Schizosaccharomyces pombe: one gene and its partners. The gene in region 2 interacts genetically with the main gene of each other region. Each region holds a gene or a part of one and is shown on either strand. Other genes may lie near its edges. The genes, in order: sla1, rrp6, alp13 and trm1.

The links.
Region 1: mutations in rrp6 (region 2) and sla1 are lethal when combined (synthetic lethality), as found in Schizosaccharomyces pombe (one study listed by BioGRID).
Region 3: of rrp6 (region 2) and alp13, changing one enhances a phenotype caused by changing the other (phenotypic enhancement), as found in Schizosaccharomyces pombe (one study listed by BioGRID).
Region 4: mutations in rrp6 (region 2) and trm1 are lethal when combined (synthetic lethality), as found in Schizosaccharomyces pombe (one study listed by BioGRID).

The regions. Positions count from the first base shown.
Region 1 is NC_003424.3:1,381,706-1,385,954, forward strand, and holds sla1 (La-motif domain-containing protein), read right to left. Parts: upstream 1,844-4,249; 5' UTR 1,809-1,843; coding exon 1,595-1,808; exon of another isoform or gene 1,520-1,594; coding exon 837-1,519; 3' UTR 703-836; downstream 1-702. Other genes in the region: disulfide relay system thiol oxidase subunit Mia40, read right to left, coding at 2,372-3,018, 3,087-3,381; mitochondrial dihydroorotate dehydrogenase Ura3, read right to left, coding at 3,805-4,249.
Region 2 is NC_003424.3:606,859-616,291, reverse strand, and holds rrp6 (exosome 3'-5' exoribonuclease subunit Rrp6), read right to left. Parts: upstream 5,445-9,433; 5' UTR 5,407-5,444; coding exon 5,140-5,406; exon of another isoform or gene 5,082-5,139; coding exon 3,015-5,081; 3' UTR 2,954-3,014; downstream 1-2,953. Other genes in the region: MEK kinase (MEKK) Mkh1, read left to right, coding at 1-2,794; spo20 (sec14 cytosolic factor family, phospholipid-intermembrane transfer protein Spo20/Sec14), read right to left, coding at 6,133-6,408, 6,472-6,594, 6,791-7,093, 7,142-7,300.
Region 3 is NC_003424.3:1,582,025-1,590,088, forward strand, and holds alp13 (Clr6 histone deacetylase complex, chromodomain subunit Alp13/Eaf3), read right to left. Parts: upstream 6,554-8,064; 5' UTR 6,528-6,553; coding exon 5,599-6,527; intron 5,550-5,598; coding exon 5,465-5,549; 3' UTR 5,304-5,464; downstream 1-5,303. Other genes in the region: ribosome biogenesis protein Tsr1, read right to left, coding at 1-83; guanyl-nucleotide exchange factor Vam6, read right to left, coding at 501-573, 633-3,021, 3,068-3,172, 3,224-3,301, 3,347-3,419; SPOM_SPAC23H4.21 (uncharacterized protein), read right to left, coding at 3,989-4,072, 4,165-4,449; SPOM_SPAC23H4.13C (uncharacterized protein), read left to right, coding at 4,669-4,839, 4,920-5,303; centromere localized protein Cnl2, read left to right, coding at 6,931-7,367, 7,439-7,568.
Region 4 is NC_003423.3:3,717,081-3,725,638, reverse strand, and holds trm1 (mitochondrial tRNA (guanine-N2-)-methyltransferase Trm1.1), read right to left. Parts: upstream 2,257-8,558; coding exon 610-2,256; 3' UTR 501-609; downstream 1-500. Other genes in the region: mrh5 (RNA helicase), read right to left, coding at 1-269; ribonucleotide reductase small subunit Suc22, read right to left, coding at 2,709-3,884; MCM complex subunit Mcm7, read left to right, coding at 5,719-8,001. UniProt on the Schizosaccharomyces pombe protein: Dimethylates a single guanine residue at position 26 of nuclear- and mitochondrial-encoded tRNAs using S-adenosyl-L-methionine as donor of the methyl groups.

The DNA of each region.
Region 1 (4,249 bases), 770 kb from region 2:
TCTGTAACATGATGTAACGTGGTGAGCTTATAGCATATGACGAAGAACAGCACAGTGCATAAAAAACAATAACTTTGTCAGTTAGATGTTTATTTTCGAAATAACGATACTTTCTACTACGGTTTGATTATATATAGTAATAAAATCAGTCATAGCCCAAAAATGAGTATAAAACAAAGATTCAATTTAATTCTGTTTCAAGTAGCTTAAGCAATGTCTCAGTTATAATTAAGCTATAGGAAGGTCAACTATTTTTGCTTCACTATATTTTGTATTCTGAAGAACATATTGATGTGTAGGATCGATAGCGTAGCCCAGTCAAGCAATCGAGAACTGTAAACCTATGTTGACTGTGCAGTCGGAAATATGTGAAAGACGCATGGTTCTAAGGTTGATATTTTTTTATTTTTACTGTTAAAGTTGATTCTTGTATGGTTGATATCCACCAGAAATATACAAGTTCTTAATTCAGTCAATTCTGATCATTGCAAATTCCACTGAGAACTTCTGAAATGCAAGCTTGGTCGTACTGGTAAAGAAATAGGACTTAATATTAACTCATGTGAAATTTAAAATATTCAGTACGATACATTATAAGTGATGAAGCAAAAAACTATTGCTATTATTCAAAACCTTTAAAATTCGTATAGCAAAACTTATAGCCGAATATTGTTACGATTTAAGCATTAAATTACGAGGTCATATTGTACAAAATAACTGCATGAAACGACTATTTATTCATCCAAAATTCCTAATATAACCAATCCGAAAAAGTTTATTTGTCCAGTGTCTTTGAAGTATTTGTAAAACAAACAAACAAACAAAATTAATCCATTTTACTCCGAAGCGGCCGAAGGCTTCTCTTCAGAAGCGTTAGATGACCTTTGCTTCTTAAATTTTCTTCCTCTGTTACTATATTTACCAGGACGCTGACGATCCATCTCTTTAAAAGCGTCAAAACGTCTGCGTTTGCTGCTAAACTTTGGTGGATCGTTTTTATGTAATTCAGCTTTCATGTCAACATACTCCTTTTTGCTCATTATAGTGAGCTCGTCCTCGCCCCATTTCAAAGGTGCAGTTTTGACTTTCTCAAGAAATTTATTAGCAACATCGGGTTCCTTGAATTCAACAAATACGCTTCCCTTAAATTTTTTATCGTCATCCCTTCTCATACGGACAGCACTAATGGGACCAGCATTTTCTTCAAAGAATTTTTCCAAAGCAATTTGAGTGTCATCTTTTTCATCACCGAAACCTTTGCAGTAGACACTTCTTTCCATGACGCTCTTGTTGTCTACACGAACTAGAGGAATCATACGACGTACTTTTTCGCCAGCTTCATCGACTTCAAGAAGTTCAGGACTCTTGCGAAGAGCATTTACAATGGCTTCCAAAGGCTGAAAACGACGCATACGTTTGAAATTAGCAATTGTTTGAATGGGAACCCATCCATCATTTTTTTGAGAAGTAGTCCATAAAAATTTATCATGGGGTAAGTTGGTGTCCGAAAAATAAAATTCTATTCATACTGTTAGTAACGACCACTCAACACAAAAAAGGTTTTAATCCAACGTAAACAAAGTGTGTAACATACCAACTTGCTTTAAAACTTCAGCTTCATCAAAAGATAAATCTTTTTTTCCATCATCTTCCTTCTTTTCAGTAGTTTCCTCCTTTTTTTCTTCACTAGTAGTATCTTTTTGACTTTCTACTACTTTTCCAGCTTCCTCGGCCTTGGGAACCTCTGAAGAATTCTCCTGCTTAGATGAGATGTCCTTAATTTCTTCCTTCTGTTCTTCAGTTGACATGATGTTAATTATTCGTAGAGAGACAGGCAAAGGGCAAATTTCATAAGAAGTTGGATTCCTCTCCTAGAAGCATTTCTAACCCTACCCTATTATCGAACTGACATTATTTTCCTACTCATGAAGACAATGTTAAAAGTTGGCACTTAAAAAAGAAGTAGTTTATTCATAATAGATTTATAATAGATAGAATAATCCCATGAATTTCCATTGTTTTTTTTTTTGAAAAGATTAACAGAGATTGCTCCTTACAATGTAGCTCTGGATACAATTTAACCATAATGACAAGCAGTAGCTTTTAGTTTTCCTATTTATGATTCTTTACCGACAATTGCAATATAACCTATAATATCAAGATTCCCCATTCGAATTATCATTTAATATCCACTTTATTGTAGAACCGCTAACTATTAAAACCGATGTAAGACATTAATACTTTAAACTTACTCCATTTGTTGGAGTCATTATATGTTCGTTACGAGATCACTATCAAATGCTTTAATTGAATAATTTCAATTTCATATTGTTGAAGGATTTTAAATAGTAAACGGAGCGCCTCGAAAATTTTAAATTTCCTTTATAACTGACATAGGTGTAAGATTAACAATTTCTTTCTCCATGTTCATAACGTCTTCTTCAGGATTAGATGCATTATCGGAGGGTGGAGATTGTGGTTGATTATTTTCGTCAGATGTAGTCGATGGTTTCTCATTAGTTTCGGCGTCTTCCTCTTCAGACTCCCCTACCATATCTTGATAAATTTCGGGGTGTTTTTGAAAACAAGCCTGCATAGCTTGAAATTTGTCAAGACATTCCATACCTTTTGGTTCACTCTTGGAATAAACGAAGCAACTAAAAGCTGCTTTGAATTCTTCTCCACATGGACCATGAGCCATACCTCCAAGACAGGGACAATCCCAGTTAATCTCTCCAGTATCCGGATTAAATGCTGACTCCTCGCTGCTCTCCTCCTCCACTTCCTCAAATTTCCTAGCATATTCATCATCATCTTTACCAGTGGCTATTTGTTCTCGAAGTATATTTCCAGCTGTCTCCCCGCTGGATTTTTCCTTATCAGTTTTCTTCGGTGCACTATTCTCAGTAGCGCTGACCTTGCGGCCTTTCTCGTCAGTCGAAGGTTGTGTTTCACTTGTCATTTTCTTCTCAATGGCATCTTCAATTCGGTGTCGCTGCATATATGGTTCATTATACGCTATATTGTTAGTTAAATTCATATAATCGTACAGAAAAAGATAGCCATTTCAAACATATGATACTTACATTGTGTTTCCGTATGGACATGTTCGCCTACAACAGGATGGTCATTATCTTGACTCGATGATGCATTTGAAGTGTTTTTTCCAAGTAAATATCCAGCAGTCAAAGAAGCAGCTGCAACGCCAGATACAATAGGCAAAAAACGGCCTTTCCATACATCAGTTTTGGTTGCAGTACCAAATTTTCGACAAATGCCTGCTTGAAATCCATTTCTCTGCAGTAGAGACCTTCTCATATTATTGTAACCGTTAATCCTTATACATTTTGGAAATCTGAAAAGTAAGTTTTTAGCAAACATGGTTTTTTTGATTTATGGGAAGTTGAGCTCTGAACTTCTAATGTCTGCGTAATGGTCAGAAAGCGGCGACGATCTTACAAGAACGTAACTTTGTCATTCATTCTAAGTTTATATAAGTTTGCATGTTTTTTAAATCAGATTTAAGTAAATAGGTATTCACAAATGTAAGACAAGCAAGACTGGCAGGATTTACGAGATTACTAAGAAATGCCTGAATGACTAATTTCATAATAGAATTAAACTAGCGACATAATAGTTTCACAAGCAAACTTAGGTATGCAAAACAAAAGGTAATTCATTTATAATATTTAATTAGAAGAACGTGAGTATTATTTTCTATAATATGTTAAATTTTTACTATAATAATGTACCAGTAAACGACACTGAATTTTTTCTTTAAAAGAAATATACTGACATCCCAATCTATTCTTCCTTGCCAATTATGTCAACCCAACGTTTGCCCTTAAGCTCGGCAAGAATCTCTTGCTTAATCTTGTGAGCAATTACAGGACCATCATATCCCAAAGCAGTATAAACTTGAACCATAGTTGCACCAGCACGAGCATACTCAATAGCATCTTTGCCAGAAGAAATACCACCACAGCCGATGATGGGAATATCGGAAGAAAGATGCTTACGAAGTGTGCGAAGAGTATTTAATGCGATAGGTTTGAGAGGAGGTCCAGAAAGACCACCCGTCTCTTCAACATGGCTAGTTGATTTGAGGGTCTTAGGGCGTTGAACGGTAGTATTACCAACGATCACACCGTCAATCTTGCACTTTTTGAGGACATCGGCAATGTCCGTGAGTTCTTCTTCGTTCAAATCAGGTGCAATTTTTACAAGTACGGGAGGATGAGGAGAGTTC
Region 2 (9,433 bases):
AGGCTCTCCTATAAACTTACACGCTTACAAAGGAACTGTCACTTCAATAATTAACGATGACAGCAGAAACATTAATAAAAAAACATTGTCGAAACAACCTGTATCCGAACATAAAGAAAAACAAACTAGCTTTCTCCGTCGTTTCCGGGTACCTGGGTTTTCTCGTGACAAGGATAAAACTAAAGATTGCCCTTCTTCAAATTCGAACCCATTCCATTTAGCTTCTTCAAATGTGAAAACATTAGACGCGTCTTTGGATCAAGGTGAGTGGGTACCTCGTATTCATCGTTTAGAAAGTCAAATTGGTTTAATATCCAAAAAGAAGTCATTTGTTCTTGCTACTATGGATGATATGAAATTCACAGTAGTGGATATTACCAACGTCCAAAATGCTACTCAGCTACGTAAGCTAATAGCTAAGAGTATGTATTTAGACATTTCAATTGACCAGTTTGATTTGTTTCTCACGGAAGTCGGCGGGGCTCAATACATAGAAATATTAGATGATAGAAAGCTTGATATTGCAAGGCTTTATTCTGATGAATTTGGAACTATTAAATTTTTCGTAAAGCCATCACAAAATGAAGAATCGGGTATGGATAGTGATACTTATTTATCTTTTGGCACAAAATCAAGTTCAACTTATAAAGCTGATGATGACTCAATATATCATCGCAAGGAAGATTTTAAAAAGCAACCAAGTTACCCTGTGCTTACTTCGGATTTTGAAATTACTGATGCAGGACCTAATTTATCATTATCAGGGCATCAACCTGATAATAAATACTACAAAGGTTTTAGTTCGGCACCGAATTTGGCAGTTGTTCCAGAATTACCATCTCGACGTTTTCGAGGGTTTGAAAAAATCCGTGGTGCTAAAGGAGAAATGGCTACAAAAATTTTGGATGCCACTGAAGCCCAAAGTGAAAAAAACAAATTTACCGTTTGTAGACCTCACAAGAAGGTCACATTGAAAATGCCACTTAATTCCGGCTCTTCCGCTCCCCAAAGTCCTTCATCTAATACTTCTGCTTCTGTTTTAACTAGAAATTTTGTGGCACATAGAGATCCTCCACCCCCACCCACAGAGACATCTAGTTTACGTCGAAAAAATACATTGACTCGTAGACCAAGTATTCGTCACGCTCGGTCCTCTCCTTACATTGATACCGGACATAACGAAGCTAGCAAATTTTCACATACGTCTTTTGACCCCAAAGCATCTAGTAAATCTTCTAATTCATTAAAGGAAAGTGTGGAAGCTTTATCAGAAATACCTTTTGAAGATGCGCCTGCACTAGACGAATCGGATCTTTCTGGGGATCCCTTTTGGGCTATACAGCCCAAACAATCTTCCTCCCAAGTACCTAAAGAAAATCATCACAACATTCAATCCAAACTTTCCATTAACACAGAGGCTGCTACGGATTTGAAAGCAAATGAACTATCTTCGCCTAAAACTCCTGAATACTGTAGAGGTGATGACAGATCCATTAGTTTATCACCGTTATCTTATCGTTTAAGAAAGTCCAAACATATTCGTGAATCCCCACCGTCTTCAAAGGTTATCAATTCTGGTAACTGGGAAGTTCGTCCATCTGCTGATGATCTTTATGAGGATGTTGATCGATTTTTTCCCCGTTATGATTTGGATAAAGTACTTGTAGTGGACCAAAGCCGCATGGTTTCTTCCCCTTCAAAGGTATCGATACGTCCGAAAATGAAGTCTGTACGATTATTAGCCCGCGAAGCATCTGAAGCTCGGAAAGAAATACGACATAACGCGAGACGCAATAAATCTGGAAATCTTCTACGTCGATCAAGTACGAAACTTTGGGGCTCTAGGATTGTAGAACTAAAACCAGATACTACTATAACTTCTGGATCAGTTGTTTCACAAAATGCCACGTTCAAATGGATGAAAGGAGAATTGATTGGAAATGGTACTTATGGTAAGGTATTTTTGGCTATGAACATTAATACGGGTGAATTGATTGCAGTAAAGCAAGTTGAAATACCACAAACTATTAATGGCCGTCATGACCAATTACGCAAAGATATCGTGGATTCCATTAATGCAGAAATTTCTATGATTGCCGATTTGGATCACTTAAATATAGTGCAATATCTGGGTTTCGAAAAGACGGAAACGGATATAAGTATATTCCTGGAATATGTTTCAGGTGGTTCAATTGGTCGATGTTTGCGGAATTATGGTCCTTTCGAAGAGCAACTGGTCCGTTTTGTATCACGCCAGGTGCTCTACGGGTTGTCTTACTTACATTCTAAAGGTATTATACATCGAGATTTAAAGGCTGACAATTTGCTCATTGATTTTGATGGAGTTTGCAAAATTTCAGACTTTGGAATATCTAAGCATAGTGATAATGTGTATGACAATGACGCAAACCTGTCCATGCAAGGATCCATCTTTTGGATGGCACCTGAAGTAATTCATAATGATCATCAAGGATATAGTGCTAAGGTCGACGTCTGGTCCTTGGGATGTGTAGTGTTGGAAATGTTAGCTGGTCGTAGACCGTGGTCTACAGATGAGGCTATCCAAGCTATGTTCAAGTTAGGTACCGAGAAAAAGGCGCCTCCTATTCCTAGTGAATTGGTGTCTCAGGTATCACCCGAAGCGATTCAATTTTTGAATGCATGCTTTACTGTGAATGCTGATGTAAGGCCAACCGCAGAGGAATTATTAAATCACCCGTTTATGAAATGTGACGAAGAATTCAACTTTAAGGACACGAATCTTTACGACATGCTTTGTAAAAGAAAGAGCTAAATTGGTCGCAATTATTATTTATTACTTAGCGTTTCCTCGCAGGGGCATGCATTCTCAATTTCTTCTTATAGCTATTTATTTAATATTGAAATTAATTTTGAAAATTATTACATTATTATACAAACAAACATACATGATCATTTTCAATTTCTACAATGTATTTAAAAGTAAATTTTCATTTTGTCAAAATTGTTTCGTTTATTTAAAATTAAAACTGATATTAATAAGATGTACTCTTCCCGTCTGAAACCTTCCTTTTTTTGAGTTCCCTAGTATTTCGCTTTGGTAAACTTACCTTGTTAAGAGGATTAAAACCCCGTTTCCCAAATTTATTTTTTCCTACATCAGAGTCTAAGTCAGCAATAAAATTCTTTTGATTTTTATAATCAAAAGGTGCTTCATTGATAATTGGACTGTCATTAGAAACATGTTCGGCTTCAATAGTAAGTTTTCCGCTGTTCTTCTTTTTCTTCTTTTGCTTCCGTTTTTTTGACACTGAAGTTGAAGCTTCCGAAGGTTCAATATCTTCATTTCGCTCCTCTATGGGGTTTGAGGGTTCTTTATGATTAAGCTTAGAAGAATCCCTTTTTTGCTTGTTCAGCCCTAAATCCCTAATGACTATAGGCTCTTGTTTCTTCTCTCCATTCAGACTCGGGTTTGCAGCTTCAGTTACAGTGGACTGCTTTACATTCAATTCGGATTCAACATGCCCTTGAGTACAAGGAAGAGTTAATGAAAAAGGAATATTCTGGTTCACTATAAAGAGTCTCTCTTTACGAGCTTTCCGTAAATCATCTTGCGACTGTCCCTCAATCCAAAACGCAGATCCATTTGCCAGCAAAGTCTTTAGTTTACTTCTATTTTGTTTAGAAATCTCGAAAACACTGGAGTCAACTTTGTAATCACCCAAAGTATTCGATTCGGAAAAAACTGCTAGCGGTTGATTTTGCTTCTCAACTTCTTTAAATTGGGATTTCTCACGATCTACTTGCTCATTATACAACTTTTCGGCTTCTTGAACGACTTTAACGATATCTTCAACATACATGCGAGCAATTGGTGTCAATTGCTTAGAAATTGAAAACACATCAGCCGCTTCAACCGGTTTACTGGCGGCAATCGCAATAAGTAAACGATTTGGCAACACATAGCGAACACTTTCATCTTCTTTTCGGGCTACGGAATCTCTCCAATCGTGCAGTGCTCGATAAATCATCAAAGCTTCCCGTCCAATTATTTTAGAAGAGCCAAACTTAGTAAGTACATTTCTCCAGCCATCAGTACCAAGTCCATAAATAGGATCATAAGGCTCAAGTTCATACTTTCTAAGAGATATTTGTTTACTGGAATTGAACACTGATTGCATAAGATTTTCTTTTCTTTCAGCTGATTTTGATATGAGTTCATTTCGTAAATGATCCCAAATATATAACAAATAATGCGTATCAGATTGAGCATATTTTAACATTTCCCGAGGCAAAGGACGGATTCTCCAATCAGCCATTTGGTATCTTTTATCTGCATCATAATCACAATACTTTTGTAACAGAAAAGCCAGACCATGACCCTCAAATCCTAAAACTTTAGTAGCATAGTATGTATCAAATAAGTTTACAACGTAAAGCCCGAAATCTCTTTGCAGCCAAATGATATCCATAGTTGCACCATGAAAAACTTTAATGATATTTGGATTAGTAAAAACAACATTCAAAGCTTCAAGCTCTTCGCGGAGTTCCAAGGTGTCAACAATCCAATCTTTTTCTCTATTACTAATTTGCATTAGACAGACGAACCCTCTAAATGATCTGTAATCATGGTGTTCAAGATCAACGGCTATTTCTTTGCTGTTTTGTAATTCTTTTAGCATATCCGATAACTGACTTTCAGTACTAACCCAGATAGGTTCTGTTTCGTCGACAGAGCCAGTATCGATGGGATTAGACATTTCTGAAACCCATGGAGGATATACGCTATTTTGTATTTCTGGTTCATATGGATGTGGTAACGAGTTTTTGAGACTAGGGTCCAATTTGACTTGAGCGATAATCTTTTCGAGCGGTACTAACGAATGTGGTTTTTCAGTTAACTTCCAAGACCACACAAACTCCCTGGAATTATTAGGCTGTACTCGAAACCTTAATTGAGGCTTAGTAAGATGAGCTGCGTGAATAACCTTGTAGGGCAACTTTTCTTTCTTTGGTTTTTTATTGGCAACATCGCTTGTCGACGCATGGGTTTCGATCGCTGGCTTTTTTAAAAGTCCTTGAGCTTTATCGATAGAATAGTCCTATATTCATACGTCTTAGTTAAATAAAATCCGTTTACAATTTCAAAAATTCACTTACAGCTTTTTCAAAGAGTATGTCTAATGTGTCCGATACTTCTGCCCATCTATTATCTATATCTTCAACGTCCACAATATCCTCCGCCCGACTTCTGTCTACTTTAGAAAGAAGCAATTCAATTAATCTCATAAAACGAGAAGAAACACTTTTTATGTTTTCATTGAATTCGGTATCAATTGATTTATAAAACGGTATATCAACCTTTGCCAATTCAGAGCAATAGGCTGTACTATTCATTAAACCCTTAAACAATTCTGACTCATCCATTATGCTATTGTTTACCCTACTGGATCAGTAAGGTTTTTGGTTTGGTTCAGGAATTTTCAAGCACTTTTACCACACGCTCAACGAATTACCGAACTTGAATATAGACATCGTTAAAGTACGAAATACAAGAGCTATTTTTATATATATAAAATATTTTACACAAATGCAAAATCTTAGCAGAATTATGTAAAAGCAATTATTTATGATTAGTTCAAAATTGTGAAACTATTAGCAGGCAACTATAGAGAGGTCTTTTATAATATAGGCATTCAATTTTGATCAAAAAGTAAAAAAATAATCAAAGTAGATGAATTACAAATTTAAAAACTTCGGATAATCTAGAATGGATGAAACAATCAAATCAGTTGGATCATCGAGCGTCCTTTTTTGGAAAATTAATGAACGATATATGTATTGAGACCTTCTATAAGGATTAAGAATTGTAACAGCAACCATCCCATGATGTTGATGATGGATCAACACATGACTTTCGAAATAAAATATTTATATATGCTTCGATCTATATACGATAATTTCGTCGAATAGTAAACCGTAAGTAGAAGGAAGTACCTGAGATGCTGAGTAAAAATAGAACGAAGACCTTTAAGAACTAAAACGCAGAACAAAGTTGAAAGATCGGCAAAAACTCTACACACTATTACTCTTATCAAAGGACAAACCACATTCATCTATTCTAGCAATTAAATCCCGTTCGGAGAAAGAAGTCTAATTTTTGTTCATCCACTGTTCTTCATGCCATGGACCGGCGTCAGATAGTTCGCAGCCACCTGGACATTGGCAGTTTCCACCGAGTTTAGCAGGAAGATTATCAGCAGGGATTTGTTCGAGCAGAGCACTCTTATAGTTTGAGCCTAAAATATGAATTTTTTTGACAGTTGCCTCATCCAAAAAACCTTTGATAAGATTAAAGGCAGAAGAGAATCCCCAAGGAGCGTTAATTACATAAAACTTGCCCATCCTTTCGGGGTAATAATCTTGACTCTTTAACGTGTTAATACTTGAAAAAAAAAAAAAAGAACAAAAATTTCAACATTTTCAACTTACAATGCTTGATGCTTGACGAATGTAGCTGTAAACCGAGTGAATACTAGTAATACCAACACCCTTTAGATCCATGATTGTGCACGAAGTTTCAATCAAGCCTCCTGCTTTACGAGAACAAGCGGGCTGAAGACGGTTAATAAAGATGAAAAGAAATATCAAAATGAAAAAATATATCACAAAAAATTCAACACAGTAGAAAACCAAAAGTTTTTCTATTAAAAAGCCGAAAAACCAGCCTTATATGGAATATGCAAATCCAAAGGAAAGGTTTGATTATGAGAATTACTGGAGATACATTTAATCATTTGAATTTACTTACAAACCGTTTTAAAGCAAGCATTTCATATTCATAAACCAAATTTTGCATCATACGCTCGGGAGTCGTGATTTGGTACAACTTCTTCAAATCAATGTTACCGAGTTGCTCAACGTATACCGGACGGCCGTCGATGTCAGTTTTATGATAAAATTGAGGGTAATATTTGGAAACGGCTTCTTTCTCATCATAATGAAAGTTTTTGATAAGATCATCAACACCAAATTCTTTTCTCCACTTTTCGCATTTAATAAACATTTCCAGCGACTGTTGCAAATTAAATTTACGGGCTCTCAAAAAACGCAACTAAGAATCCATTAGTACAAACACAAAGTTTCCTGCTGTACAACTTACTAAAGTGGCATCGTCTAATCTTTCCGTGTATCCAAGTTTTTGTAACTCTAAACGCATGCTATCTAGCGTAGCTTGCTGTGTAGAATTCAAATGCCCTGGGTGCCCTAATGGAGCATTTGGATTAGTTAGAGGATAAGGATCCGATATAGTTTCTGACATCTTTTTGTTTAGACGATGGTTGTAGAGAGAAGACCTAATGACCCAGTCTGTACAAGATGTATAAAGGAAAAGGAAGAACGTCAGCGACCTTAATACTAGTGGTCATCAGCCGTGGGGGATCAGTCAAGCGTGGGGGCCTTTTACCTACTACCGCAGGAACCTTTGTTGCCATGCTACACCCAACGCTATTGTTATATGTGAGTATGAGGATAAACTTCAGTGTTAAAAATCAGATGAGAGGAAGAAGCTCCTCGTATGAGGTTTAAATTGTGTATAACCAATTTTTCAACTTGCATGAAAAGTGCGACAAATTTGAGATGCAGAATGGCCTTCAACGAGGCGTTGAAGGTAAATAAAACATGGGGAAAAAGTGACAATTTAACTTTGTGGAAGCATTTTTTCTTTACCAAAAAAAACGAACGATAGATAATGTTTATTTTATTTAAGCCTTTGAGTGCGCTTGTGGTGATTTTCTGTCATCAATATTTATGCACCTGACAGCTTTGAAAGAGTAAACCAGGCACTAAGAAGCGTTATAGTACATAGAGTATAGAATATGTAAATGGATGATCATATTGCGATTTTGAGATTGTTGTCTATGTAAAAACGGTATAGGAGTATCGTAGCTGGATATTTATGTGAAGTAAAACAGTTCAATTTTATGATTGTTCAGTTTTCGTATTATAAATGAGGAGTAGAAAATTGTCATAGAGTTGTGATTAAAAAAGAACTTTAAATAAGCAAATATAGTAAAGGAAAAGAAATTTTATTGCAAATGGAAAAATATTTCGTGAATAAGCAATTTAACAAAAAATACATATTGAAACGTAAATAAAGTAATACTATACGACATAAAAAATAAAATAAAATAAAATCTAAAGAATGAATAAAATAAATAATAATTAGACTAACAGCCACTTAAATATATATACAAAATTTTTTTAAAAACTAGTTTTGTCTCGCAAACGTAATTATTGTTTCCTTCTCTTTCGATCGAACTTCAGCCATAATTTTGAAAGCGTTTCTTCCACGCAAAGTTTAACAAAACATACAAGAGTGAAAGGCATTGCTTGAATGGACAGTCCATTTTGTACTTGCATAAAATTTTCAAGTTAGTATCAAATTTTCTACATGTTAGCAATAATACATTTATTTACATTGATTTTACCTTTAAAGACCTATAACAATATAAATTTTTGATTATTATATTAACGTTACGGAAGGATAGTATAATCGTCAAAATATCGTTATAATTTAACAAACGAATAAATGCAGGAAACAATGCATTACGCAAGCTTGTTACTAAAGGCAGGAAGCATAGTTTGAATATAGGATGAAAACCGTGGATATCAATGTTATAAGCATTTAACATTGAATAAGTATGGTAGAGGTGAAAAGAATCAGTACTACGTTTCTTAATTGGCAACCTTGCACCTCAAACCCAGCTGAAGTGTACTTTGCACACGAGTCTATTACTACATGGTTTTTTTATACATATTAAATAATAGCAATGGTTATTTGAACTGCAATAACGGTAACCCTACCCCGATATCTCCAAGTTTGAAAATTTACTGCTTTTATGAAAATTTAGTTTACAGTTTGTTTTGGAAACGATTATGCTATCAGTGCAGAAGCTGAAAAAAAGAAAATTTCGGGATAGTAAAATTGTTTTCATGTCATTTCCCTGGCGGTGGTTTTGAAAAGCCCGAAGTTCCATTCATTTGAGTGGCAACTTAATTTTTCATCTATTTAAAGGATGCAATTTTAGTACCACTCCGCCGTATCTTCTACCTAAGACATAAAGTTGTGAAGAAGAAAAAAAAATAAAGGTAGTTGGAAGAAAACCATCTGCATAAATTTCCTTTTAATCGCCAACTCTTTACACATTTGGTTGAGTGTGAAATTTTTACTTTTTCTGTTTCACCCTCTAGTTATTTCCATTCATTGCACCTTGTGTAAATATTTTATTTAAAAATTGGACCAGTTTATCAAATGCATAAAATTTAGTACTTTAATCTTTTAAAGCTAATTTTGTTTTTGTTACTCTGTCCTCTTAATTCTCCTTCATATTCCCTGTTAATAATAATAAATTAAAAAAATTTGATGTTTTATTTTGGTTTTACTTTTCAAGTC
Region 3 (8,064 bases), 980 kb from region 2:
TTCTCCTTTAAAGATGACTTTGAAGCGTGTTTAGACTTAAACGGCTTCTTAGCTTTAAACGTTGATCGATGATGATGAGCCATAATAAAGCGTCCTAAAGTGAACCTTAAGAATATATAAAATCTCTTTTATAAAGATATACCCTACAACGATATCAAATTAGCTAGAACTATTTGAGTATTTTTATAGATTTTCCGAAGTTGCAGTACAGAAGCCAGACTACCCCAAACAAATTTTCACCAAACCGTATTTCCAAGTAGAAAAAAATTTAACCACTTTCCAGTACAACGTAGTAAACAGTCGTCGTAAAGTGGAAGTTGGTATACGAAACGAAAAAATTATTTTACAGCCTTTTGTTTGGTGTTTAGGAGAGATAGGTAAGTTTTCGTTAAAATATAACGCACGCCACGGTATATTTATTAACAGGTATATCAGAACAAGATTTTGGAAGAAAGAAAATAAGTAGTGTAAATTTTCTCAATTATTTTATTGAATATACATTAATAGGCTTCATAAGGAAGATGGTTAGAAGAAACATATTTCTTAGCACAGCCGTAATGTACGACTGATCCACTTGTTAAATGAAGGTTAGTAATTAAAAAAAAATAATAAAATAAAATAAAATTACTTACTCGGGAAAAATAGAGATGACACTTTTTCCAAGTCGTTTGTGACAAAACAAGCAAGTTTTCTCTCGGGTAATTACTACTTTTTCAGAACGAACTTTAGTCAATTCCTCATTCAAATCTTCCAAACGTTTTTGATATAATTTAGATTGCGTTTCTTTATTACTCAGTTCTTCAAATAACTGGCGAAATTGAGAAGAGAACAAAGAATGATAACTTTTCATAGATATGTTTTTTGGCAGTAAAGGAAAAACTCTGTTTAAATCCAAGCGTGAACTGTACTTTGTTATAAAATCTAAAATGTTTAGAGAACCGGATTTGTAGTTCTTAGATATTTCAGCAAGTAGCATATAATACGGTTCTGTTTCCCCATCAATGGAATAAACAGAGTTACAATAAGATAGAGCACCCTCCCAATCATTTAGTATTTTTAAATAGACATCCAATGCATCCTGATGCCGTGATAATCGTCTATACAAAATTATCGAGACAGTAGAAAGGAACTCGTCTTGGGAGTTAATTTCTTGTAAAACGACATTAGCATCATATTGTTTTGAATTAGTCAAATAGTCTTCTAATTTTTCGATGGTTTGTTTAAAAACTTCTTGATTTTTGAAGTCCGTTGTTTCTTCCAGCTCTAAAATCCTCTTCAAGTATAATAGAGCTAGTCGAGTTGGAAAAACCGTATCATTAAATTTATTATCCAAAAGCAATTTCTCCAAATAAATGATAGAAACCTTGTACGAAATGGTCTCAAGATACTTTAAAACAACGCCTTTTGAGATTGTGCTGGCCTCGGAATTTTCGTCAATAAATATTACTATAGAATTTTGAGGATCTTCACTTAGTGGAACACGGCTGTATTTAAATATAAGATGATCAAGTTCCGGCGACAGTTTTTCTAAATAGGAAAGTATAGGCTCATATTTGGAAGTTGTGTTAGATTTTCCCTTTAAAGACAATGTATCTGTAGGCTCATCACATAATTTAGTTAATAAATCCAAAGCGGCTTCGTGGAGTGATTTTCCATAATAGTATTCAACAAGTTCACGATACATTTTAGCAGATAGTAGATTTGTTTCTACTACCGAAGTCTCGCATCGATTTGGTAATCGAAGTAAAGAACCCACTAAAGCTGGCGATGAAATCATATAAATTAAAAATAAGGTGGTATCGATTTGAACAGCAATTTTTTCTAGTTTCTCTTTAGCAACCAATGTACCGTCAGCATTTAAGAATAAGTTTTTCTTCTGTAAAAAATAATGCTCTTCATCATAACTTAAAAATCGATTGGCTTTACGACGAGAATCCGTCAAATATGTACTCAGGGAGCGAAGGCGCTTATTATTTGCAACTGTTGAAACTGCATCGCCATTGCGCAAATCTGTTTGAGAATTTGAATGATTGCCCGGGAACAGTACATTAGACTCAATGGATTCATTTTGTGAAGGAGCCATCGAAAGGATGCTTATAGCATCAGAATAATTATTATCCAAAAGCCCTGGAAATAAACCTAATACGGTAGATGGAGATTCCGAGATCTCAGAAAATAAACGCATAGCCAAATCGTAATCACCAGAAGAAAAAGAGCGCAGCGCTTTCTCCCGCTTAGTAATTCGCAAATAGTAATCGCGCTTAGGAAATTGCGATACTGTAATTTGACTTAAAACGCTGATAGCTTCATTTAAATTTTCGGTATTAAGAAGGGCTTCAATTTGATTGCTAAAATCTTCAGGAGTTAAAATCCATACATAGGAGTTAGAAGTGAAAAATGTGTTTTTATGACAAGAAAATGTTGAATAAATATTACTTATTCCAATTTGCTGAATCATTGCATAAGTCTCTTTGTTCCAAATATAAATGTATTGGTTGTGTAAAGTGATTATATATGGAGAGTTATAAATTACAGCTTGAGGAACAGTGGGCCACCGGAGAGGGTTCCGAGAGACTTGTAAAGATTTAAGATTCACAAGTAATCCTTGTGAATCTTTAGACAAAAGAACCTCGTCATCAGATATTCGAGTAATGTGCAATTTGTTTGACTTTATGGACATTCCAATATAGCTTATACCTAAACCAAGAGAAGAGGACTGTTGCCATGCTAAATTAAGAGAAGAAATCCGGGATGTTTCAGTATTTACAGCACAAAAATCATTTGAAAGAGACACAAGAATCATTGTAGGAGATACCCAAGCAAGAGACCTTGGCCGGTCATTAAGTGAAATGGTTTTTGTGAGGTTAGGTTTAGAATTCTTCTGTATTTCGTAAATTTCCAAATTTTTTTTGGATGAAAGTACAATTAATTCATCACCGTACAAACACATGTTCTGACAATGTGCTCCAAACGAGAAAAGTTTCTTAAAAGTCGAAATTTGATAAACGTAAACTTGAGAATCTAAAAAAGTTAATAGTTATAACTAAACTAGTTTAAAAAAGTTTACCAGATAAAGCATAAAATATATCTTGCGTAGCGCAACTCACGACTTTTGTTATAGGCTTTTTCGTAAAATTAGGATATACATCCACATGTTCCATGACGAAGTCAGCTATTTATAAGATTTATTAATAATTATTTTTTTATAGAAACAATTCCATACCTGCTTCTTCTTCTTCATTGTTATAGATTTTGTAACTATCCAAATCACCATTGCTATTCGACACATAAACCAGACCTCCTATTATCCATTAGCATTAAGGTCCAAAAGTAAAATAAATCATACCTAACTCAAAAACGCATTCAACCCGAGCTTTTGATAGCTCTAAAACACGGTATAATGAAAATGCTCTATGCATTACCCTTCAATAAGCATCAGACAAAATAACTTTGTGCTAAAACGTAAATTTGGTCCAGAAAAAAATTGATTAAGAGAAATATAACTGAAAAACAAAGGAGAATATGTTCAAGAACAAGGTCTGGTTTAGTATGACATTCGCTAACTCAAGAGCTCGTTGAATGTCATAAAAATATTTAATACATTAGCAATTGCTACCTTAAACAGCTCTTGATTGTAGCATATAGGAGAGTTAAATAGTAAAGAAATAACTTTCTTAATAAACTGGATTGCTCAACTCTATAATATAAATAATATGAGAAGATTTTGCTTTATATTATTAGTTAAATAGTTGCTTTCTCTACTCTTGTTTATTTCCCGGGTAAAAAGTTTGCTAATGTTAGTTCCAGTTAATAATAATGTCATTGAAAACCATTTATTATTTATTCAATTAGGATATATCTCAATACTTTATGCTCGATATCCAATTGTTACCAATAATTACACCAAAGTTTTAAACAATAAACAGGGATATAAGAAATTTTTTGCTTTCCAAGTAGCAACAGAAATAAGGTCATTAATAATGACTTTTCAAGGAGGTACAGAAACTCCATTGCTATTGCTGGGAGCTGGCCAAAATCCATCTCGAATCCAACCGGCTTTAAGAACAGCAATCTGGTGAAAAAAAGTTTTAGTAAAGTAGCAAAAAAACGCAAACAAAGATAGAATTTTAAAAAAGGAAAAAAATAATAACCGACTCAACTTACTACAATGCTTAATTTGACCGGACGCTTCAACTTTTGCCTTCGATAGACTAGTGCTTCATAAACATTGAGATATACATTTTCAGGAACTACAACTTCATTCGATGAATCAGTTTCTTCGGTAGATTTTTTCCCTAAAAGCCATGAAGAGCGCCGTTTATGCCACTCTTCTACTCCAATTCCTAATTCTGTCGCATTACCAGAATCCATTATATTGGGTAAAAGGACCGTCAACAATTCACCGTTGTGCACGCCACATTTTAAATCGAGATTGGAAACTTGATACATTTTAATAACAATCCGTTAGATATAACAAACTTATTCATTTCATTTGTTCTGTTAATTTTGCAAAGTTGCTTTTTACTGCTTCGTATTAATTTCGAACAATCAAACTACTTATTCCGCAACACTATATGCTTAACCATCTTTTTTACGCTTATCATTTTCTTCTTCAACTGGTTTGATATCCATATTTTCACTAGTGCAAAATTTTCGATCATTCTAAAAATGAGTTCGAACAGTGCTGTTCAAAGCAAAAGTCCTTTGCTTCCTAAAGAAAATCCGCCTGTTAAAGCTTTTCCAGATAATATACAAGTTTCGTCCAGCTTATTGTCCTTCTTAATTTACATATTATATACTTTTTCTATCAGTGGTCTCTCGACTTTCGTTATTACAAAAGTAAGTACACATTCTTAGCAAGTTGTGGTTAGTTTTTATATTTACTGGTTCTTATTTACGTCCAACTCACCAAATTCTAGTATTACATACGTCCTCAATGGTTATACACATTGGCCCTTAGACGGGCACTCATAAAGCTTTATTACAATTTTATGGATGGATTCAATAAGCGGACTGATACATTACAACATCGGGTTGACGATAAAAAAATTTTAAAAACAATAGAAAAATGGAGTTGTATTAAAGAAAAATTGAGAAGAGTTGCCAATATAACTGAACAGGAGCAGCAGTGTATCCCGGCAGAAAGTTCGTTAGACCTGAGCATCCAGGCAATGAAAGGTGTCGTAAATGCAGAACTTTATCAGTTTGGAAGTCAAATTTCTGGATCTTTAGAATTTGATACTCCAATTGGCAATTTGCAGAAGCAAATTGTCTCTTTGAAGAGCAAAATGATTAATATCTGAATATTAAGGAACAACATAATAATTGCATGAATTCTCTGAATGCCTTATGTTGGTCCTACTGCATTCTATAGATAATAGTGTATTATATCTCAAAAAGAAAACGTATATATTTTAGATTACCGTTTTAGTTATCTTTGGGATAGATGCAAACGATCATAATTTTATACACCAACCAAAGATCTATAGTTTGGAGGGGCGTTTTGATATTCTTTAATAAAATATTCATCTTTATGTAGAACGAGATACCTAAATAAATGGTTAGTATAGTAGGGGAGTTTAAAAGCAGTAAACATACTTCAAGAATTCTTCAATGTAATTCAACAAACACTCGATGGATTGTGAATCCATATTAGTCCGGTCAATCAATTCAGGAAGGCTTACAAACAAGCGAATTAAATGTTCGACGCCATATAAATCACACATTTCAGTATCAGGATATTGCTGCCGAATTTCTAAATATTGCTGCCGTTCAAACCGATACAGCAGCATATTGCCCAAGCACTTATTAAAGTATATAACCAAACCAGCCATCGCTTGTTCAAAAACATCAACGTCTATTTCATTGTTCAAATGAGAAATCTTGGATTCTCGGAAGGCCGCTATAGCAGCCCGGACGGTGGGATTCCGCGGTATAGCTATTAACTGTTGATTTTTGGTAATGTTTTCCCAGTCATCAACAAGCCATAGCTTTAGAACGTCCGGGACACTAATCTTGTGTTTTGGAAGCGGTGGCTCTTCCTCAAAATCGTCTTTCTCGTTATTCTCGGGCTTAGTAGTTTCCTCGTTTTTAGCATCGGTTGTTCCATCGCGTTTCACTTGTTGAGGAATTGGAGACTCTGATTTTTGGGTTTTTATACGTGAAGGCAATTCATGTGAATCGCCATCAACCGTTACGGTGCTCGATTCTCGAGACCTCTTTCCTGATGTTTTAACTCCAGTTGAGTCATGTTTCGAAGTGCTGGATGCGGACTTTTTAGAAGTCGGTTTTTGTCTCGTAGAGATAGCGGCATTTTTTAACTCTTTCTGAGTCTTTAAATTTTCTTCTGTCCATTGTAGTATCCTATCTTGTTCAACCCATTCATCCCAACTGTTTTTCCATCCTTTATAATGAATCAGGTACGTGGTAACATCACCTTTCATTTCAGTATCAACAATTTTAGCCTCATAGAGTAACGGGCCGTGAAAGCATAGTACACGTTCATTCACCTTATATGACACGGCCATTCCAACAACGTTGTAGGTATGGTGGTGAGTTAGAAGTAAGAGGACGTGTGCCAAAACAGTACACTTAGCAAATTTATCCTACTTTGAAGGAGTTAGCTATTTTGTTTTAAAAATTATCTAGACCCATTAACAAACGGTGGGTGTAACAGGATACTATCTAAGCAACAAATTCATTCATCTGCAAAATGCTTGGAGAAAGTGCTATCAGTAAGTTACTGTTTTAGGATTTTTAATGATAAATTAAAAATAAACTTTCATTATGTTCAGCAAATACGTCCCAATACGCATTATAAAAAATGCTTTAGTCAAAAGGATACTTTAGGAAAAATTAGCTTTTCTACATGAGTTTTCATCAAATGCTGCGTTTCATTTATTCAATTTACTAATATCTCAAAGGTTGCTCATGAATATGGAGGAACAAATACTTAATGATTATCTTCTTTCTCAAGGGCGGTTGCAGTCTATTATAAGCTTAGAACAATGGCGGCAACTGTTTCCTCAGAGATACAGAGAAGACCCACTGATTGAGCGTTTATACGAATACTGTACACAACAAAGACAAAAGCGATTAGCAAAATTGAGAGCTAACATCCATCTCGAGAGTCAAGTTATCGGCAAAAGCAGAATAGATAGGATGTTGGCAACAAATGTTGAGAAACTGCAAACGGTCAGTCATGCCTCTACATTGCACGATGTAGAAGAATTTTACACATCACATAGTGCAAAACCGCTGGACATAAGTGAAATCAATGAGCGGCTTTCTGAAGCTGTGCAATCTGCTTATACAAAATTAAATGAGGAAAAAGAGCGCTGCACACAATTGACTCTTAAAATGAATAGGTATGAGGTTGATTAGGAATTTGGGTTGTTTTAATTGAGCTTTATTTAGCTTGCTAATAATTTCTTTCTAGTCAGATTGCATCCCTTAGCGATTTTCAATGGTCAAAAGAGCCAAACGTTGACGAGTCAATTCATCTTGTAGAATCTTTAATTGAAAGTTTAGAAAAGGCAGCACCTTCTGCAATAGAAGAATTAGACTAGGACCTTCAAACGTTAAGCTGTTCCATATTTATTCAATAATATAGCTTTAACGGGTATTTATTACAATGAATGAATTTTTTTTTCTTTTTAATAATTAAATATAACGTTATTCTGCACCTTTTTAATAAGATATATCTGTTCCTTTATAAACTCATTTCATTAAAACCTGTTCAAAGTAATGCGAATATATTTTCTTCAAAAGCATGCAGTATTTGTTCCATTTGACAAACTACATTTTAATAGAGTGATTAAAATCAGTTATCACTAACTTGTCGTAGCACGCATCCGAACCATGACTAACACAGTATAAAAGATGGAGCAAAATTTGCAAACATAGTTTGTAACACTTTCGCCAAATTCTTGATTAAATTAGGATAATATTCAATTTTCATTTTTCTTAGCATAGAAAGATTGAACTGTCAAATTTTTGGTGTCCGCAACATAATCTGGCATTTCTAGGATTTTGTTTACTTACTTGACTTCTATATAAGAACTT
Region 4 (8,558 bases), on a different chromosome or scaffold from region 2:
TGAAATTTTGGTCCATTGGGTTCATGCAATTTCTTCCTTCGGGTTACCTCTTCATCTCCTTTATTTGTGTAATTTGGTAAGTATCTAATTAGTTGATTTTCATTCAAAATAACAGGCCTGCCAGCTGTGTATCTTGGACTAGTGATATTGATAAATTTTCGTGTCTGAAGCAACCAAGGAACACTTCGTCCGTTTAGACGCAATCCCATCACATTTATAACTTTTATTGCATTAAAACGATCCAATATCGAGGCAGGACAACATTTCATGAGCAAACTGTTGTTGGACGAGTTAGTACCCCACCAACGAAAGTAACAATACCAAAAATTGTTGAAGCAAAAGAATTAAGAAAATATTTGCACCTTCTTTAAATAATTATGTAAAAAAGAAGAATACGGTTAAACAATAAATCATTTTAACATTGCTAATTGTGTTGCGGATACTATTAGTTTAAACAAGTATTTAGTATGGAATACACAAACTAAATCTTTTTTGTACTAGCCTGTTTATAATTTGCATAAACCTTCCGAAATAACATAAAGAATGAAATTGTATGTACTATCCAAAAACCTAAAATACAAGGAGTATTTAAACTGTGCTCCACTTTACCTAAGATTTTGAGTCAACTTCAGCGATAGTTCTTTTACCAGGTTTACTTTTTGGGCCCCAATTTTCAGTTGGGTTCATTTGATATCGAGTATAACCTTCTTTTTTGGATGCAAACTCGGAATCGGGCCTGAATGTAAAATCAACCTCAGCTGTGGGAGTTTTTTCCAAAATCGCTGCTCCAGCAGATGTTTTACTAATATTTTCAAGCTTCACTGGATGATCTTTAATCCAAGAGCGCAAAACATCCCAAACGAAGGACCAGGGAGCATTTGTTTTAATTGCATTACTCTTGGCATGAGAACCAGAAACCCGATATCCAGCGTTTAACAAAGCTGAAACAAATATATTTTGAGGAGGAGATTGGGAGCGCAAGACGCTACAAATTTGGGATAAAACAAAATAAAATGGAACATCTGGTAGTTCTTCATCAGCCAAAGCGAGCATACCTAAGATTCTTCGTTTAGTGCCATAGACTTCAGGGTCTAAATCTTCTGCAATGGCGCGCATTTTTTTGAGAAATTCTGCATCATGTAGGGGTCCACCCCATAAAGGGCCTCCAACATGATGCACATATCCACAATGTTCACAGTTAGCAGATACAGGAGGCCCCGAAGCATTAGAGAATTTGGTGGTTCCAGGTAGTCTTCCCGGAGAAGTTTTTCCAAGTGGTTGCTCGGCAAAGCTACCGCAGCCTGAACAATGGTATATCAATAGCGATTGACTTTGTAAATTTTTTACGAGAACAGGCTTTGCTTTAATTTGAACAAATACGCGAAAGTAAAAATCAATACTTAGGGAAAGTAGCGGCTTGATAGCGCGACCATATTTTGCAGCAGAAGCTGCAATAGCATAAAGCAAATGACGAACAGCCTGCTCATGACAAAAATTAGAGCGCAAAGAGGACCCACCATAATTAGAAAAGCATTTCTCTGGATATGCATTACCGGCTAGAACAGCTGAATCAGTACATGTGATGCATAGAAGACCGTCCTTTGAAACGGATTGTACAGCAGCATCCAGAAACGGGGCAGCAGATCCATAAGGATCAAGGTCAATCACATCGTAATGAAATTTGTTCATATGCATAACAGCATTAGCGTCTCCTTTATTAGGAATTACTATATCGCTCACATTATTGTAATTAACATTCTTCTCGATGGTTTTCACAGCATTTTCTAATAAATCATTTGCAAGTATCCTTTTGACATTTGGCAACTCCTTAGCATACCGAATGGAACGCAATCCAGTAGCGGAAAGTGCTTCTAAAATGGTAAATCCAGCAATATTATCAGCTGAAGTAGAATCTGTCTTTTCCGAACAGTTTTTTTCAAAATCATGAGTTGTATCACATTTAGTAAGATTTTCTTGGCTAAGTTCGGAGTTTTGATCGAGAAGCTGATGCCGGTGATGAGATTTTGCAACAATTTTTTTGGATCTAGTTTCCGACCAAGCACGAATAGCTGTAACGCTTAAATCTCTATTAAATTGTTGTACGGGGTTATAAAAGACTTCATTCGGATTTGAAAATGGTATAATTGCACTACCCTCGGTCAAACTTGCAGAAGCCCCCGACATCATGGCGGTTGAGAAGTGATTCACAGCATTTGAGATCCTTTGACTTAATCTTAGCATATTGGCTTCATACATTTAATACGAATTAAAGAAAAATAATCGTTAAAAAAAAAGAAAGTATTGATTATTTTTGAGAGTAAATTTGCAGTAATTCATTAAAAAAATACGAGATGTGATAAGTCAACCATAAATCGAATTACAAAGTATTGTATAATACATGTAATCTTGTAGGTTTAGGTAATTGACAATAAGGATAATAAGTAAATGGTCTTTTAGTCTATGACTGGAAAATAACTTTTCTTAGACGTAGTAAATTAATGAAAAAGAGAAAAGAACTTGAATAGAAATACTTCAGAAATTAGAACTTCGTCATTACATTCACTGAAGTAGCCATTTAGATTTGTAAAGTATAGAGTAACGAAAATCTAATTAAACATATTAATTTATTATTGCTAAATAGGTTATCAGTAATCAATAATATTTTTTTTTTGCTTTAACTTATCTAAAAACCAAAAATAACTAGTCATCTAAAAGTCCTCATCGATTGTAAATGTATGATCATCCTTCTCAGCGCGCTTGGTACCCGACATAACGCCAGCAATTTGGTAGTCAGAAACTTTCTTTTCAAAGAAATTTGTTTTTCCTGCTAAAGAGATATTCTCCATGAAATCGAAAGGATTGGTTACGTTATAGTACTTGTCATTGCCCAAAGCAACCAACAAACGATCAGCAACAAATTCAATATACTGACACATCAAATCCTTATTCATACCAAGCAGACTAACGGGAAGAGCGTCCGTGAAGTATTCTTTCTCAATATCAACAGCTTCAACAATAATGGCTTCAACAACCTTGCGGCCTGGTCTGTGCTTCAAATGACTAAACATCAAACAGGCAAAGTCGGTGTGAAGACCCTCATCACGACAAATCAATTCATTGGAAAAAGTAAGACCAGGCATAAGTCCACGTTTCTTAAGCCAAAAAATAGAGGCAAACGATCCAGAAAAGAAGATACCTTCTACAGCAGCAAAGGCAACCAAACGAATTGCATAGGTGGAATCTTCATCATTAATCCAACGAAGAGCCCACTTGGCTTTGGCCTTAATAGAACCCATTGTTAAAATAGCATCGAAATGACGCTGTTTTTCCTTAGGTTCACGAATGTATGTATCAAGCAAAAGTGAGTAGGTCTCAGAGTGAATATTTTCAATCATAATTTGGAAACCATAAACACAACGAGCTTCAGGGATCTGAACTTCAGAGCTGAAACGCTCGAGAAGATTCTCATTAACAATACCATCTGACGCAGCGAAATAGGCGAGTACAGTGGAAATAAAGTAACGTTCATCAGCATTTAACTTGTTATCCCAATCAACCAAGTCTTTCGAAAGATCAATTTCCTCAGCAGTCCAAAAAGATGCTTCAGCCTTCTTGTAGAATTGCCAAATTTCGTGATACTTAATTGGAAACAAAACAAAGCGGTGAGGATTAGGGCGAAGCACAACTTCATCAAGCTCATCTTCCTTTTTGCCCAAGTAGTAGTCGCCTCCTTCCTGTTTCTCTTCTTCACTTACATTATCAAAGTTAAAGGTTTCTTTAATAGATTTAACATAAATTTTACGAACACCTTGTTCGCTATCATACTCGACTTCTTCACCATGTTCCTTAGGATAACTGAATTCTTCGAGATGCTCAAGGCCCATTTTGTAAGATTAATAATGAGATTTCGTCCAAACTGACCGGATTTATCTGTATATAGAATAAGTACAAAAGTTTTCTTCCACCGCGATTATCTCTTGCGATGTGGCTTCCCAAGATGTGTTGTGGTTAATGGCAAAACTTTCAAAGGTAGGTTATCCAATGTAGTGCACAGTATTGTAGTATATTCAACACCACCGTTTTTTTTGTGGATGTTAATTTGTCGCACTTTGGGTATGATAACACAATGAATAAGAGTGAAGGCAAAATAGACAAAATGCTGCCTTATTTTACAGAGTGGAAAATTGCAGTTAAACTAAGTCAAAGGCTGATGGAGATGAATAACGTTGAAAAAAAACAATGTACTAATTAATATTTGGAGACAAACGCAACGAGTAAAAAAAATGAAATAAATTCGAAGACAATCTCAAATTAAATGGGAAAAGCAAGGGCTTACTTCCTTTCCCTTCTGGTGTGTTATAATAACGGTTTCTTAAAGCAGGAAATTGTAGCTAGTTAATAGAAAAATGTGATAGCTTAAATCGAAGAATTCGATGCTAAGCGTGGAGTCGAATAAATTCAATTATTTAGGCTCAAATAATTGAAAAAATAGAAATGAATTTATTACTTTATGTAATAAATAAATTATTAAATTTCTCACTTTTTGTTATAATTTAATAAAGTAGTTTTCAGTGTAATACTTAAGACGCGTCAGGGTACCTCAATTTATGTTGTAGATGAAACGCAATGATATCAGCCTAGTAGTACGATATGATGTTAGAAATAAATATCTCTTCACAATCTCCTTTTCATCCGAGATGTAGAGCGCTTTATAACTGCTCAAATATTACAAATCACGAAACTTCTAATGCGACGCGACCGTACATAAAGACATTGCTTAATTAAAAAAAGATAAGCGCGACAGAGACCTAGCCACATACTGTGAATAATTTTAATACCTTGATCCTTTCGTAAAAAAAAAAAGAAATACTTATATTCGTCTATTGTAAACAGAAAATAAATAAGCATTCCAATAGCACGTTTCTATTGCGTGTTGTGCTTTTAGGTACAGTTTACAATGTGGTATAAAACAATAAAGAATTTTCTATATTCATTCTTCACTGATGTTTGAAATAACCGAACAAAAAATAAAAAGTTCCCTACTCGAAGTTTTTATATTGTTGATATCGCATTTCTTTTGAGAATTTCCCTGCTAACTTACTTCATAAGTTTTCAAAAAAATTTTTAAAAATAAAAGTGAAATAAATTTTAGGCAGTAGTCTAAATAACTCTCATGTTTAGAAATACAAAACGTGTAGAAGAAAAATAGGAAAAATTATGGATAGCTAAAATAACAATCGATTGAAGCAATGAAAACAATTAGACATACATTTATGAAAATAAAATGACCAATTTATTGTCTGGCAAAATGATTATTATTAATTTAAAACAAATAAACTGTTTATTTATACATAGTGAATACTCTCCAAAAAAAATTTCTAACAGTACTACATAGTGGCTTTTAAAATCAAACTGAATGTTTACTTTTGCTGCGAGAGTAATAAATTAAAAAGGAAATATGTAGAGAATCAAAAAAATTATACACTGCAATTTCTTTAGAGTCAATGACAATTTGTATATGCCCTAAGTTACAATATTTACATTTTTGTTACCTTACGAGTTCGCGTTGATTCATACTACCAACTAACTAAAACAACCTAAAGAAGAACCTTTCTTGGTATCTTACCCTTACTTAATACCCTTGCTTTCTTTTTGAACCTTTATATTTTTTGCTAATTCAGCAGAAAAGTTTTGGGATACTTTTTTGGTTTGAAAAGCATGGCACTTCCCACCATAGATTTAAAAATCCCAGAGTATGAAGAATGTCAACATAAAATTACGGATTTTCTATCCCACTTCAAGCAGGAACAGGTTCAAGATGGACAACAAAATCAGGATATTTCGATGTCGGATGCAGGTGATGAGCCTTTTTTAAAATCAAAGTATATGGATATACTACAAAAAATCTCCAATCGAGAGTCAAATGTTATTAATGTTGATTTGAATGATTTGTACGAGTTCGATCCAAGTGATACTCAGCTTTTGCATAATATTGAATCTAATGCTAAACGGTTTGTTGAACTTTTTTCGCAGTGCGCAGATGCGTTGATGCCTCCTCCTACTGTGGAAATTAATTATCGCAACGAAGTACTTGATGTAATTATGCAGCAACGTGTTCAAAGGAATGAAAATATAGACCCTGAGCATAAAGGATTTCCTCCTGAATTAACCCGAGGTTATGACTTATACTTTCGACCAGTAACTCGCAACAAAAAACCATTCAGCGTTCGTGATTTAAGAGGCGAAAACTTGGGATCTCTTTTGACTGTCCGTGGTATAGTTACTCGTACAAGTGATGTTAAGCCTAGCTTAACTGTAAATGCTTATACATGTGATCGATGTGGGTATGAAGTGTTTCAAGAAATCCGTCAGAAGACATTCCTTCCAATGTCTGAATGTCCTTCGGATGAATGTAAAAAGAATGATGCAAAAGGTCAGCTTTTCATGAGCACAAGAGCCAGTAAATTTCTTCCTTTTCAGGAAGTAAAAATACAAGAATTAACGAACCAAGTACCTATTGGCCATATCCCTAGATCATTAACCGTCCACTTATATGGTGCTATCACTCGCTCTGTAAATCCTGGCGATATCGTTGATATTTCTGGTATATTTTTGCCGACTCCGTATACTGGTTTTCGAGCAATGCGCGCCGGGCTCTTAACCGATACTTACTTAGAATGCCATTATGTTTCACAAATCATTAAAAATTACACAAATATTGAAAAAACTCCTCAATCGGAGGCTGCTATCGCTGAATTAAATCAAGGAGGCAATGTGTACGAAAAACTGGCCAAGTCCATTGCTCCCGAGATATATGGACATGAAGATGTTAAAAAAGCTTTACTTCTGTTGCTTGTCGGAGGTGTTACTAAAGAGTTAGGGGATGGAATGAGAATTCGTGGTGACATAAATATTTGTTTAACTGGTGATCCTGGTGTCGCAAAATCTCAATTATTAAAGTATATTTCGAAGGTTGCCCCGAGAGGAGTATACACCACAGGTCGTGGATCTTCAGGTGTTGGTTTAACTGCTGCTGTAATGCGTGATCCAGTGACGGATGAAATGGTTTTAGAGGGAGGTGCCTTAGTACTTGCTGACAACGGTATTTGCTGCATTGACGAATTTGATAAGATGGATGAAAGTGACCGTACAGCAATTCATGAAGTAATGGAACAGCAAACTATTTCAATTTCAAAGGCAGGAATCACTACGACTTTAAATGCTCGAACAAGTATTTTGGCCGCTGCGAACCCCTTATATGGACGATATAATCCGAAAGTGGCACCAATCCACAATATAAATCTTCCAGCTGCACTGCTTTCCCGGTTTGATATTTTATTTTTAATTTTAGATACTCCTTCTCGTGAAACAGACGAGCATTTGGCACAACACGTAACATATGTTCACATGCATAACGAACAACCTAAAATGGACTTTGAACCATTAGATCCAAACATGATTAGGCATTATATTTCTTCTGCTAGACAATATCGCCCAGTCGTACCAAAGGATGTATGCGACTATGTTACTGGTGCTTATGTTCAACTTCGACAAAACCAAAAGCGTGATGAAGCCAATGAGCGTCAATTCGCTCACACTACTCCACGTACACTTCTCGCTATTTTGCGAATGGGACAAGCATTAGCTCGTTTGCGTTTCAGTAATAGAGTGGAGATTGGCGATGTTGATGAAGCTTTGAGATTAATGTCTGTTTCAAAGTCATCACTATACGATGATTTGGATCCTAGTTCTCACGATACTACTATTACCTCGAAAATATATAAAATTATTCGAGACATGCTTAATAGCATACCAGATGTTGAAGGCAATGAACGCTCACTTACACTACGTGCTATTCGTGAACGCGTACTTGCTAAGGGTTTTACTGAAGATCATTTAATAAATACAATACAGGAATATACAGACCTTGGTGTTCTTTTAACTACAAACAATGGTCAAACAATAATGTTCCTCGATCCGGATTTACATATGGAGAATTAACAATTTACTAATAGATAACTCCTATCATTTAATTTTTCTGCCAATTAATTGCTTTAAGCTAATTTACAACCTATAGAAATTATTCTGAGACGTCAAACTACTTTTCTGTTGAATATTCTTTAATTCTGACTAATACATCTGTCGTTCTTTTAATCTATGATAGTTTATTTACTTGTATTCAAATGTTAATTCACGCAATTGAAAGGAAGATATATTAAGCCAATATGTTTCGTTAGATTTGGAAGGACCATAAAACCTTAAGATACGTGTCAATATGCTCGAGTCGTAGGAATGAGTAATGAGTTTTTATTTCTTGACATTTAGCATTATTTTACACCTTTAACTTGTTCATCACTGCTGTCCCACCCTTCCTGCTGTCATGCCGAGTAAATTGCGAATAGAACTTTACGCACTTCCTTAGAGCAACCAACTTTGGATACCCATTGGTGTCAAGAAATGGGCATTCCATTTTAAATAACTTACTTTGTTTTAACGTCTTTTTAATACTGATTAATTCCATTATAACTAGTTTGCCGGATCCACTTCTCCGTAAGAAT